Ovis aries: one gene and its partner. The protein of the gene in region 2 interacts with the protein of the main gene of each other region in a pairwise test. Links are inferred from orthologs where the notes say so. Each region holds a gene or a part of one and is shown on either strand. Other genes may lie near its edges.

Region 1 (4,476 bases), on a different chromosome or scaffold from region 2:
AATCAAGTCTCTCCCCCTGCATTTTCCCCGCCAAAGGCTGCCATTTAGATCACTTACTGTGACTCCCTGGTAGAAATGGTAGTTATTCTAATATTACTGGAGAAATTGTTGGCAAAAAGTAAATCCTTTGTGCACACTGTTGAAGGGCAGCCTGAGGATGCCGTTACTTCCCTCCCCACCACCAACACACACGCCACCTTTGGCCATGAAGACTACACCTGTGGTCCATGTCTACCGAAGAACAGAGTTTGCTCCAAGAGTCACCGCAACAAACTTTCTATAAGCTCAGTGTACTAAAAGTCAGCCTTCCGTAAGTGGAAGGGACATTCCCTCACGCCTAATTTAAATCCCATCACAGTGAGATATAATAAAATGCATTAACTATTGTTAGCAATGAGCTCTTCGTGTAACCAGCTAGCTATTGTTCATTTCTACTTAAAAAGAGAGTCTATACAATCGAGTTTGCCAATTACCTGTGGTATGTAGTTCTGAAACCAGCCACACCTTTCTGCTTCAATATAAACTATGATGTGTATAATCCAACTCCAAATAAGCACCATACTTCTCGTATTTCTATTTGCTTCCACCTCTTTCCTTACCAAACTCTTGCTAGAGCCAATAATATGTTTCAATAGGGACTGAATTCACTTCCACATCTTCCCTCTGCTTCTGGAGGTGATGAGGAGACTCAGGAGGCTGAGGCGGATGAAGCAGGACAGATGGTGATCCCGAAAACTCAACAATGGGACAGACTGTTTACCTACTAATAGTAAGGACTGGGATCTGTTTGTGTAAACATCTCCCAAAGCAACATTAGAACATCTTAAAAAATTCCAAAAATAAGAGAAATCAATTGAACTGAAAAAGACACAGCTCAGTTTGGGGAGCTTTGCGAAGAATGAATGACAATGCCAGCCGCAAAATGCAAAGGTTTGGACCAGCTACACCAATTTCTTGTTTCCAAAAAAAAAAAAAAAAAAAGAATATCTTATGCTACTGATGTGAAAACGAGGGCCTTTGGAAAATAAGTGGCAGGCCTTTGGACTTTGAAAAAAAACAATAGACTGGTCTATAGATGTTTAGGAAAACATTTACTCACAAAAAGAAATTCCGAAAGCTACTTAGCATTAAAAAGGGTGAGAGAAACAGAAAAACTCCAAAGGGGGGCAGGAGAGGAAAGGGGTAGATCTTAGGCCAAAGGAAAGCAAAGGAAAACGGTAGGAAATACACACCAGGACAGCAATATGAAATTTATGTCCAACTAATTCAACAGCTATTTCTTAATACAGGATGGATCTGGGTGGCTGCATACCTACCAACTACAGTGTTACATAATAGGGAATAAGCTCTCTTACCAAAAAAATAAATCAGAAACATCCTCCCAAGGACTATATTACAAAGTGATTTTAATCAGTAAGGGGGAAAAATTCGGCCAAAGACCTAAAGGACCCCAGATACAGTCTTCCTTCCCACTAGCAACTTTAAAACACTTTTTCTAAGTCAATTATTTGCTTTTAGTTCACCTACACTGCCTTGCAGGACATTAAAACAAGGTGAAATCTACTCAAAGACAATTCTGTGCAAACATTCTACATTTTCTAAAGTCTGGTTTTCCCAAACTGCACATTTCCCCCACTCCTGACTCAGGCGGACATCCGCGGGCTTGGCTACCCCACGCTCCAAAGTCCAGTAACCGGGCGGGGCGGGGGGGGGGGGGCTGGATCATGATCCCACGAGTCGAGTCTGGTGCACCACCTCCTCTAGTAAACATTCTGCTTACTGGTGTGAACGCTGTGCTTGTAAAGCCAAAAGGGGAGGCGAAAAACAGCATTTCGCCAAGTTCCCACCCCTTCAGCTAGGGTGCAGACTCTCCGGCAGGCCTCACGGGCTAGCTTCAACTCATTACCTCTTCGCCAGGAGGGACGACACCCAGATCATTTACAGGTTTTTAAGTTTCGATTCGGAGCTCCCAGTCCCAGGGCAGCGTCCGGTTCCGGGGCGACAATGGGCCGCTGTGACGCCTGCGGGGCCACGCGCAGCCCGGGTTGAGGGGGGGCGGGCAGCCCGCCCGCCACTTCCCACCCGGCCCCCCGCCGATCGCCCCCTCCGGCCCCCGCCCCGTTACCTGCTCCGCCACGGCTCGGAACAAGCACGACCCGTCCTTGGCGACCAGTTTCCGATACAAGCCCAGGGTCCGCAGATAGGCGTCCATGGGAGTCGCGTCCTCGCGGGGCGCCGCGCCGCCCCGGTCGCCGCCGTCGGGGGCGCCGACGGCAGCCTCCATGTTGCCGGTCGCGCAGCAGGCCCGGCGCGGCGCGGGCTAGCCCCACATGGCCGCGCCGCCGGCTCCTGGACGCCCCGGCCGGGGGCGGGCAGCGGCTGGGGCTCGGGCTCGGGCTCGGGCTCCGGCTCGCGCTGGGCGGGCGGCGGCAGGCGGCGGCGGCGGCCCGAGGCGGCGGTCCGCGCGCATAGGGAGCCCTGCCTAGTGCATGGCCGGGCGCACGCGGCCGCCTCCCGCGGGGCCACGCGCCCGGGGGAAACGAGGCGGGGAATTCACCAAAACCCGCAAGCGAGCAGTCACTTGACGCGGGCCTCGCCGCTCGGCTCAGCCACTGGGGCCCCGGGGTCCCGCCCCCACACACACACAGAAGTTTCCTCGCCAGACCCGGCGGAAGCGAGGAAGCCCCCGCAACCCGAGCGCGCCGGCCCAGACTCTTGGTGAAAGCGAGGCCTGTGGGCCCCACACCGGGAGCCGAAGAAGCCGAGAGAGAAAGGCGCGGCCTGACCGTCTCCCCACCTCGCAGGAGGGCGCCGGAGGGGCGGGGAGTGGGCGGGGGCGCCCGGCGGGAGGGCAGCACCCTCGCAGCCCAGAATGTGTTTTCGCTTTCGGCCCCGACCGCGGAGAGGACGGCGGGAGGTGTAGTTTGGGCAGCGGCAGGAAGTCGGCCTGCGGCGGGCGGGGACGCGCTGCCGGCCTACCCGGCGGGGGGAGGCGCCCGGGAGGCGCGCGGACTACAAGTCCCTACAGCGCGGCCGCCGCCGCCGCCCGGAGCCGGCTTCACGCTTCCCGGGCACCGCGCGTCCTCCAGCAGGCCGAGGGTCTGCGCGGAGACCTGCGCGCGCCGCCCCGCCCGGCCGGCCGCCCGCCCTCTGCGCCGCGGGCCTGCGGGATGTGCGCGCGCTCTGCGTGCGTGGAGTTGCCAGGGACACGGAGGCCGCTGGGTCGGCCCTTTGTGTATTTCCAAACAGAGGGCGCACCTGTCTGCTCCCCTCCCCCCGGCCTCTTCCCCTGACGTTTCCATGGAGGTGGCTTTAACGGCTTAAGCAGAAAATAGACCTAATTGGCGAAGGCTCCTGGAACTCGCATCGTGCGGGGCGATACAGGCTGTCCATAAATCAGCCGTGGACTGCTGATTCCTATTCGAGACTAGAAGTACAGCTCTGGCGGTATATCGCAAGATGATGCCTTTGCCACAAACATTTTGGTTCACCCTGCCACTATAGCTGCCCACCCCAGCACAAAGGGGTGTCGCTAGTCGGAAAAACTTAAGATTTTTTTTTTTTTTTCCTTTTTAGAAAACCATCTTGTAATTAATTGTTGGATAGCGTGCTGGACGTGCCCTGGGATCCAGCGGTGTTTGCTGGAGGATTCCTGTTCAGCTTCCCACCCTGAGAAGTTGAATGAGAGTGTATGCCTTTAGAACCTAGAATTTATCCGGCTTGTTTTTGTGACACCAGAATTTTATTTTTATTCAAGTACAACAGCATCTGGTATCCCAATCTTTTAAATACACGGTTAATCATAAAATCTGCTCTTGAAGCCATGGTGCGGCAGGGTGGGGCTGGGGAGATGGAAGAATTACTGTAGATGTAGACATGTGGTCAAACAGATTCTTTGGAATGGGGGGCAAGGCAGGCCAGATGGTGAGAGTCCAGTGCAAATTACTGAAAATTCTATTTGAGAAATCTGTTTTCAGTATTTGGTGCAAACAATGACTCGTGTGTTCACTCTCCTTGGAACGTTTAGATTTGATTTCTTAAGGTTTAAAAATTCAAATATCCAATGGTGCTGTTTTTAGAGAAAGCAAAAAAAGGATTCTGACCTAAATGAATTTTCTTGTCCCACTATTGAATTTTGTACATTTTGTAGAGAAATACACTGCAGAATCCCTTTTAGAAAAACCTAGTTTCAAGTCAAACCTGTTGCTTTTCCTTCTTTAATATATATATAATTTAAAACATACGATTGCACTCTCATTCCACTCAGAAAGAACTGCCCAGTTTTACCACTACTTACAATATGGCACTTTCTTTTTATAAACAATGACTTGCCTTTTAAACCCACAGAGGAATGGAAAGTAAAAGTGAAAGTGAAGTCGCTCAGTCCTGTCCAACTCTTTGCGACCCCATGGACTATAGCCCACCAGGTTCCTCTGTCCATGGGATTTCCCAGGCAAGAATACTGGAGTGGGTTGC
Region 2 (4,409 bases):
TGAGGATTTTTTAAAAAATTGTTTCAGCAGATTTGCAAATGTTCACAAATTATAATTAAGTCATTAAACTTGGGTTGTATTATCTAAAACTCAAAGGTTAAAACTTGGGAAATGAAAACAAATACTAAAACACCTGACTGCCCAATCAACAGTAGAATTATAGATGTATATTATAATCTACTAAGTATATGAAGCTAACTTAGTAACTCAAATCTTGGTAGTAAGTATATTAAACCTACCGCTTTAATTCCACAAATTACTGTAGTATTTCCAAGCTTCACTAAAGAAGAACCATCTGCGGTACCAATCGAACCTGAAAAGTATTTTTTTAAAATGAAAATGTTTTCTTCTTTTATGTATGATTTTTATCTCTAAATATCTAAGATGTCCGTGAAAATTTACTCCTTGCTTGAGTCTTGGTAAAATTATAGTTGACCCTTAAACAACATGGGCTTGAACTATACAGGTCCACTTATACAAAGATTATTTTCAATACATACTTCCACAGTACTACGTGATCCACAGTTGGTTGAATCTAAGGATGCTGAACCTTGGATACGGAGTGCCAATCCATAACGGTAAGATTATACTTGGATTTTCAACTCTGTGAAGGTCAGTGCTCCTAACCCCCTCACTGTTCAAGGGTCAACCGAATTGTTTTAGGAATTATTCATTTTCTTGATTTTGAGTGAATCATTTGTCATTTAATCACAGGGCTGTTATTAAAATTTCTTGACAAAAATCACTGTAATCCCTTAGACCTGGTAGAATTTGTCTAAAACACCGTTTAAATGGCTCAGAGGCTAAAACCTGGGAATGTCATATGGGTAAAATTGGAAAATTCCATGTTTGGCAACAGAAGATTTAATAATGTAAGATATAGAAGGAAACCAAACCTTACAAGTTTTGAAGGGGGAAAACACTTCAGAGTTACTTTAAAATTTAATATGAACATAAAAACTGAAAGGATGTGCTTAGCTGCTCAGTCGTATGTGACTCTTTTGTGACCCCATGAACTGTAGCCTGCCAGGTTCCTCTGTCTATGGGATTTTCCAGGCAAGAATACTGCAGTGGGTTGCTATTTCCTTCCCCTGGAGATCTTCCCCACCCAAGGATCAAACCTGTCTCCTGCATTGCAGGTAGATTCTTGATGCACCAAGACATTTGGGAAGCCCACTAATGAGAGGAGAGTGAGTTAAAAAAAACTCTACAAATAAAAAGTTGCTATTAAGAAAAAAAATTCTATTTTCAGAACTGAAGCAACTTCAACATTCTTTTAGAACTCAAAGTACTCTCACCTACGTTGACAGTTGTGGTTCTGAATTCACCAAGTTCTCTGCCATCGGGACGGCAATTCTCTTTCTAAGTAAATATATGAAAGTAGATTACAGCTACATGTATATCTTACACAGACCAAGGAAAACACACTGAACCTCATTAATTCAAATAAATTAATCTGTATTACTTTAAAATTGTCTTTTAAAAACTGAAGTATACTTAGAACATTAGGTGAATAACATGATTAATACTTGTATTTATGAAAAAAGCATATGATACCATTATCAAAGGGCATCACATAATCACCTTTACTTACCAGAAATCTCCTGTAATACTCCAGAGGTTCCACAGTTCTGAAAGACATGAGAAAAATGAGATAAATTATAAATCAATATAAATCCAGAAACACAACAATCTTAATAGTGGGGTGATGGAGCAGAAATCTCCAAAATTTGTAACTAAGTTTCTGTTATGAATTCTAGTTTATGTTGCCACATGTTGCTAATTATAAAAAGTAGCTACTTTTGCAATAACAATCACACTCGAAGACTGATTTTAATTCTGCTTTAAACAAGTATAAGGATCGAGACCAAAACCCTAGGCCTCTTTAAAAAGAGAATGAATCCAGGTGTGCATCACTCATACTTTGAAGCAGGAATACTTCGTTAGTAGGAAAAAAAAAAAAATTACGCATTTATTTTCACTACCCCGACTTAAATTTAGCATATTCTTCGATTACAAGCATAGGCAATAAACCACTATAATATTAGCCGTACCTGCGACTTTAACAACCACAGATTAAGATGTTTTCGTTTTTACTTTATAGTTGCCTAAGGTCGGTAAAGCGTATGCCCGCAATGCGGGAGACCCAGGTTCGATTCCTGGGTCGGGAAGATCCCCTGGAGAAGGAAATGGCAATCCACTCCAGCGCTCTTGCCTGGAAAATCCCATGGATGGAGGAGCCTGACAGGCTACAGTCCATGGGACCCGCAAAGAGTCGGACACGACTGAGCGACCTGACTTTATGGTAAGTGTAAGACGTATCGTTACTTCGAATTTCAGGAGTTACTTTAGACTTCCCACTAGGCCTTATCTAAGAAAGTTAATTTCAAAACAGATATTTCACTGTGTCAAAAACCCGGAGTTTATACAAATACATGGTCGTTTCAATATAACTGGTTTCCTTTGGAATCCTATTTATTGCATCCATTTAAAACTCGACTCAGAACGAAAAGCTATAGCCTTCCCCAGAGAGCAGCACCGAAAACGCTTAAGGAAAACCTTTCTAACGAGGCAGAATGCTTTTACACATAAACTACTGGGCAGAGAAAGCAGGGCGCCCTGAGGTTTTGAAGCAACGCTTTCTACAAGATTACAAGTGTCTCTCCTGTGCAGCAAAGTCCACTACACACAAAGCCTAGCGCTCGCAGCGGGTACCTGCTCAACACAGTACTTCCTATCACTGGGGAGAAGATGCGCCCTTTCCCTTCACTACGACCACCTTCAGTTCTCCCGCCCAACGTCTCCTTCTGCAGTGGAAACAAATGGGAACCAGGTGGGGTGGCCTCCCGATGAGAAAATCCCAAGGGTAGGGAAGCCGCCGACCGCCAGGCTACGAACTCGCGCCCGCCAGCCTACCGCACTCACTTGAACCCAGCCGCCATCTTCCGCCCGCCGATCTGCGCCTGCGCCCGCGCCCGCGCCTGCGTATCACCACCCCTCCGGCCCGCGCTGCTGTTTCGCTTCAGCACTTTCAACACTGATTCTGCTACCTGATATGTAGAAGGCAGGGTTGTATGGACCAGAGTAGAGGTAGAAGAGGTGAGGGTGGTTTCCCGCATGGCTTCGCTTCGACCACCCCTAGCCAGTCGCCCCTTTAGGTTTTCTTGACCTTGACGTTTTTGGCGAATCGGCTTTTACGAAAGTTATGAGTGTTTGTTTAGAAACAGTTTGATAGTTCAAGCGTGCGTGCTTAGTCTCTTCTGTAGAATCAGACTTTTCGCGACCCGATGGACTATAACCCACCAGCCTCTTCTGTCCTTGGAATTCTCCAGGCAAGAATACTAAACTGCGAAGATCTTCCCAAACCAGGAGTGGAACCCATGTCTCCTGCGTCTTCTGCATTGAAGGCGGATTCTTTATCGCTGAACCACCAAGGAAGCCCACCATTCAAAAGTTTCAGAGAAAACCGACGGTATAGCAAAAAATCAAGTGTTGAGCGTGGAGCATTATTCCAGTGTTTCCGCGTTCTTTCCCCCTCCTCCTTAGGCTGAGCCCTGGGCTTGCCTTCTTCCAGGTAAAAGCCTCCTGCTAGAGCACCGAAAATTTAAAAATTCTGTGCGCTGGTTATCCACATCAGGTTACATTACGCAGCTGCCAAGAGTGGGCTCCAAAGAAACAACTTTCGTTGTAGACTGTGTCGTGGCTCAAAACCTCCACTCCACCTCCTTCCTAGAAAGGGTTGCTGATAAAACGCAGGACATCCAATTCAATTTGAATGTCAGGTGAACAAAGAGTACACGCAAAATTGTTCATGTTGTTAGTTGTTACCAGAAGCTGGGGGAGAACTGGGAAAGGTTTAGCAAGAGGCGGTAGTGATGGTTGCAGGAAGCTGTGAGTGCAGTCAATGTCCCTGTAGTAGACACATAAACTGGTTAAAATGGGAAATTTGATCAGTTTTTCAAAGTTAATATAACAAAAAGCTCTTAAATGGGCGAACTTTGAGTGTGTGTTATACTTTAATAGTGCTGTTGAAAACCGATCCGTTGCTATCTGAAATTCAATTTAAGTGGACATCCGTTTATTTCTCCTTGCTGATTTTGACAACCCTACTGCGTTTGAACAGAGCCGCTCGCACACAACATAGTCTCGTCACGCGGTGGCGCTGTGGGCAGCGCGGGTCCCCGGGCGTGACCGGGTCTGGCCGCGAGGTGGCGCTGTGGGCGGCGGGCGCCCAGCTGGCATGGCCTCTCTGCGGGCTGGAGGCGGGGCTGCGCGGCCGCATTTCCGCGTGTGTGTAAACGCGGGATAGGGCGGCTGGCGGCCCGGCATGGAGGATGGCTCCGGTCTTGCTGCAGCTGGCGGTGCTCGGCGTGGCGCTGGCCGCCGCGGCCCTGATTCTGGTGAGGAGA

Evidence for each region.
Region 1: the proteins of EXOSC8 (region 2) and OTUD4 interact in binary tests that used the Homo sapiens proteins (3 or more experiments, as listed by UniProt). The two-hybrid records come from large-scale screens. The link is inferred for Ovis aries from reciprocal best matches to the Homo sapiens genes EXOSC8 and OTUD4.

Annotation. Positions count from the first base shown.
Region 1 is NC_056070.1:13,174,737-13,179,212, reverse strand, and holds the start of OTUD4 (OTU domain-containing protein 4), read right to left. Parts: upstream 2,822-4,476; 5' UTR 2,285-2,821; coding exon 2,126-2,284; intron 1-2,125.
Region 2 is NC_056063.1:24,979,769-24,984,177, forward strand, and holds the start of EXOSC8 (exosome complex component RRP43), read right to left. Parts: upstream 2,968-4,409; 5' UTR 2,943-2,967; coding exon 2,926-2,942; intron 1,632-2,925; coding exon 1,595-1,631; intron 1,363-1,594; coding exon 1,299-1,362; intron 314-1,298; coding exon 240-313; intron 1-239. Other genes in the region: ALG5 (dolichyl-phosphate beta-glucosyltransferase), read left to right, coding at 4,335-4,400. UniProt on the Homo sapiens protein: Non-catalytic component of the RNA exosome complex which has 3'->5' exoribonuclease activity and participates in a multitude of cellular RNA processing and degradation events.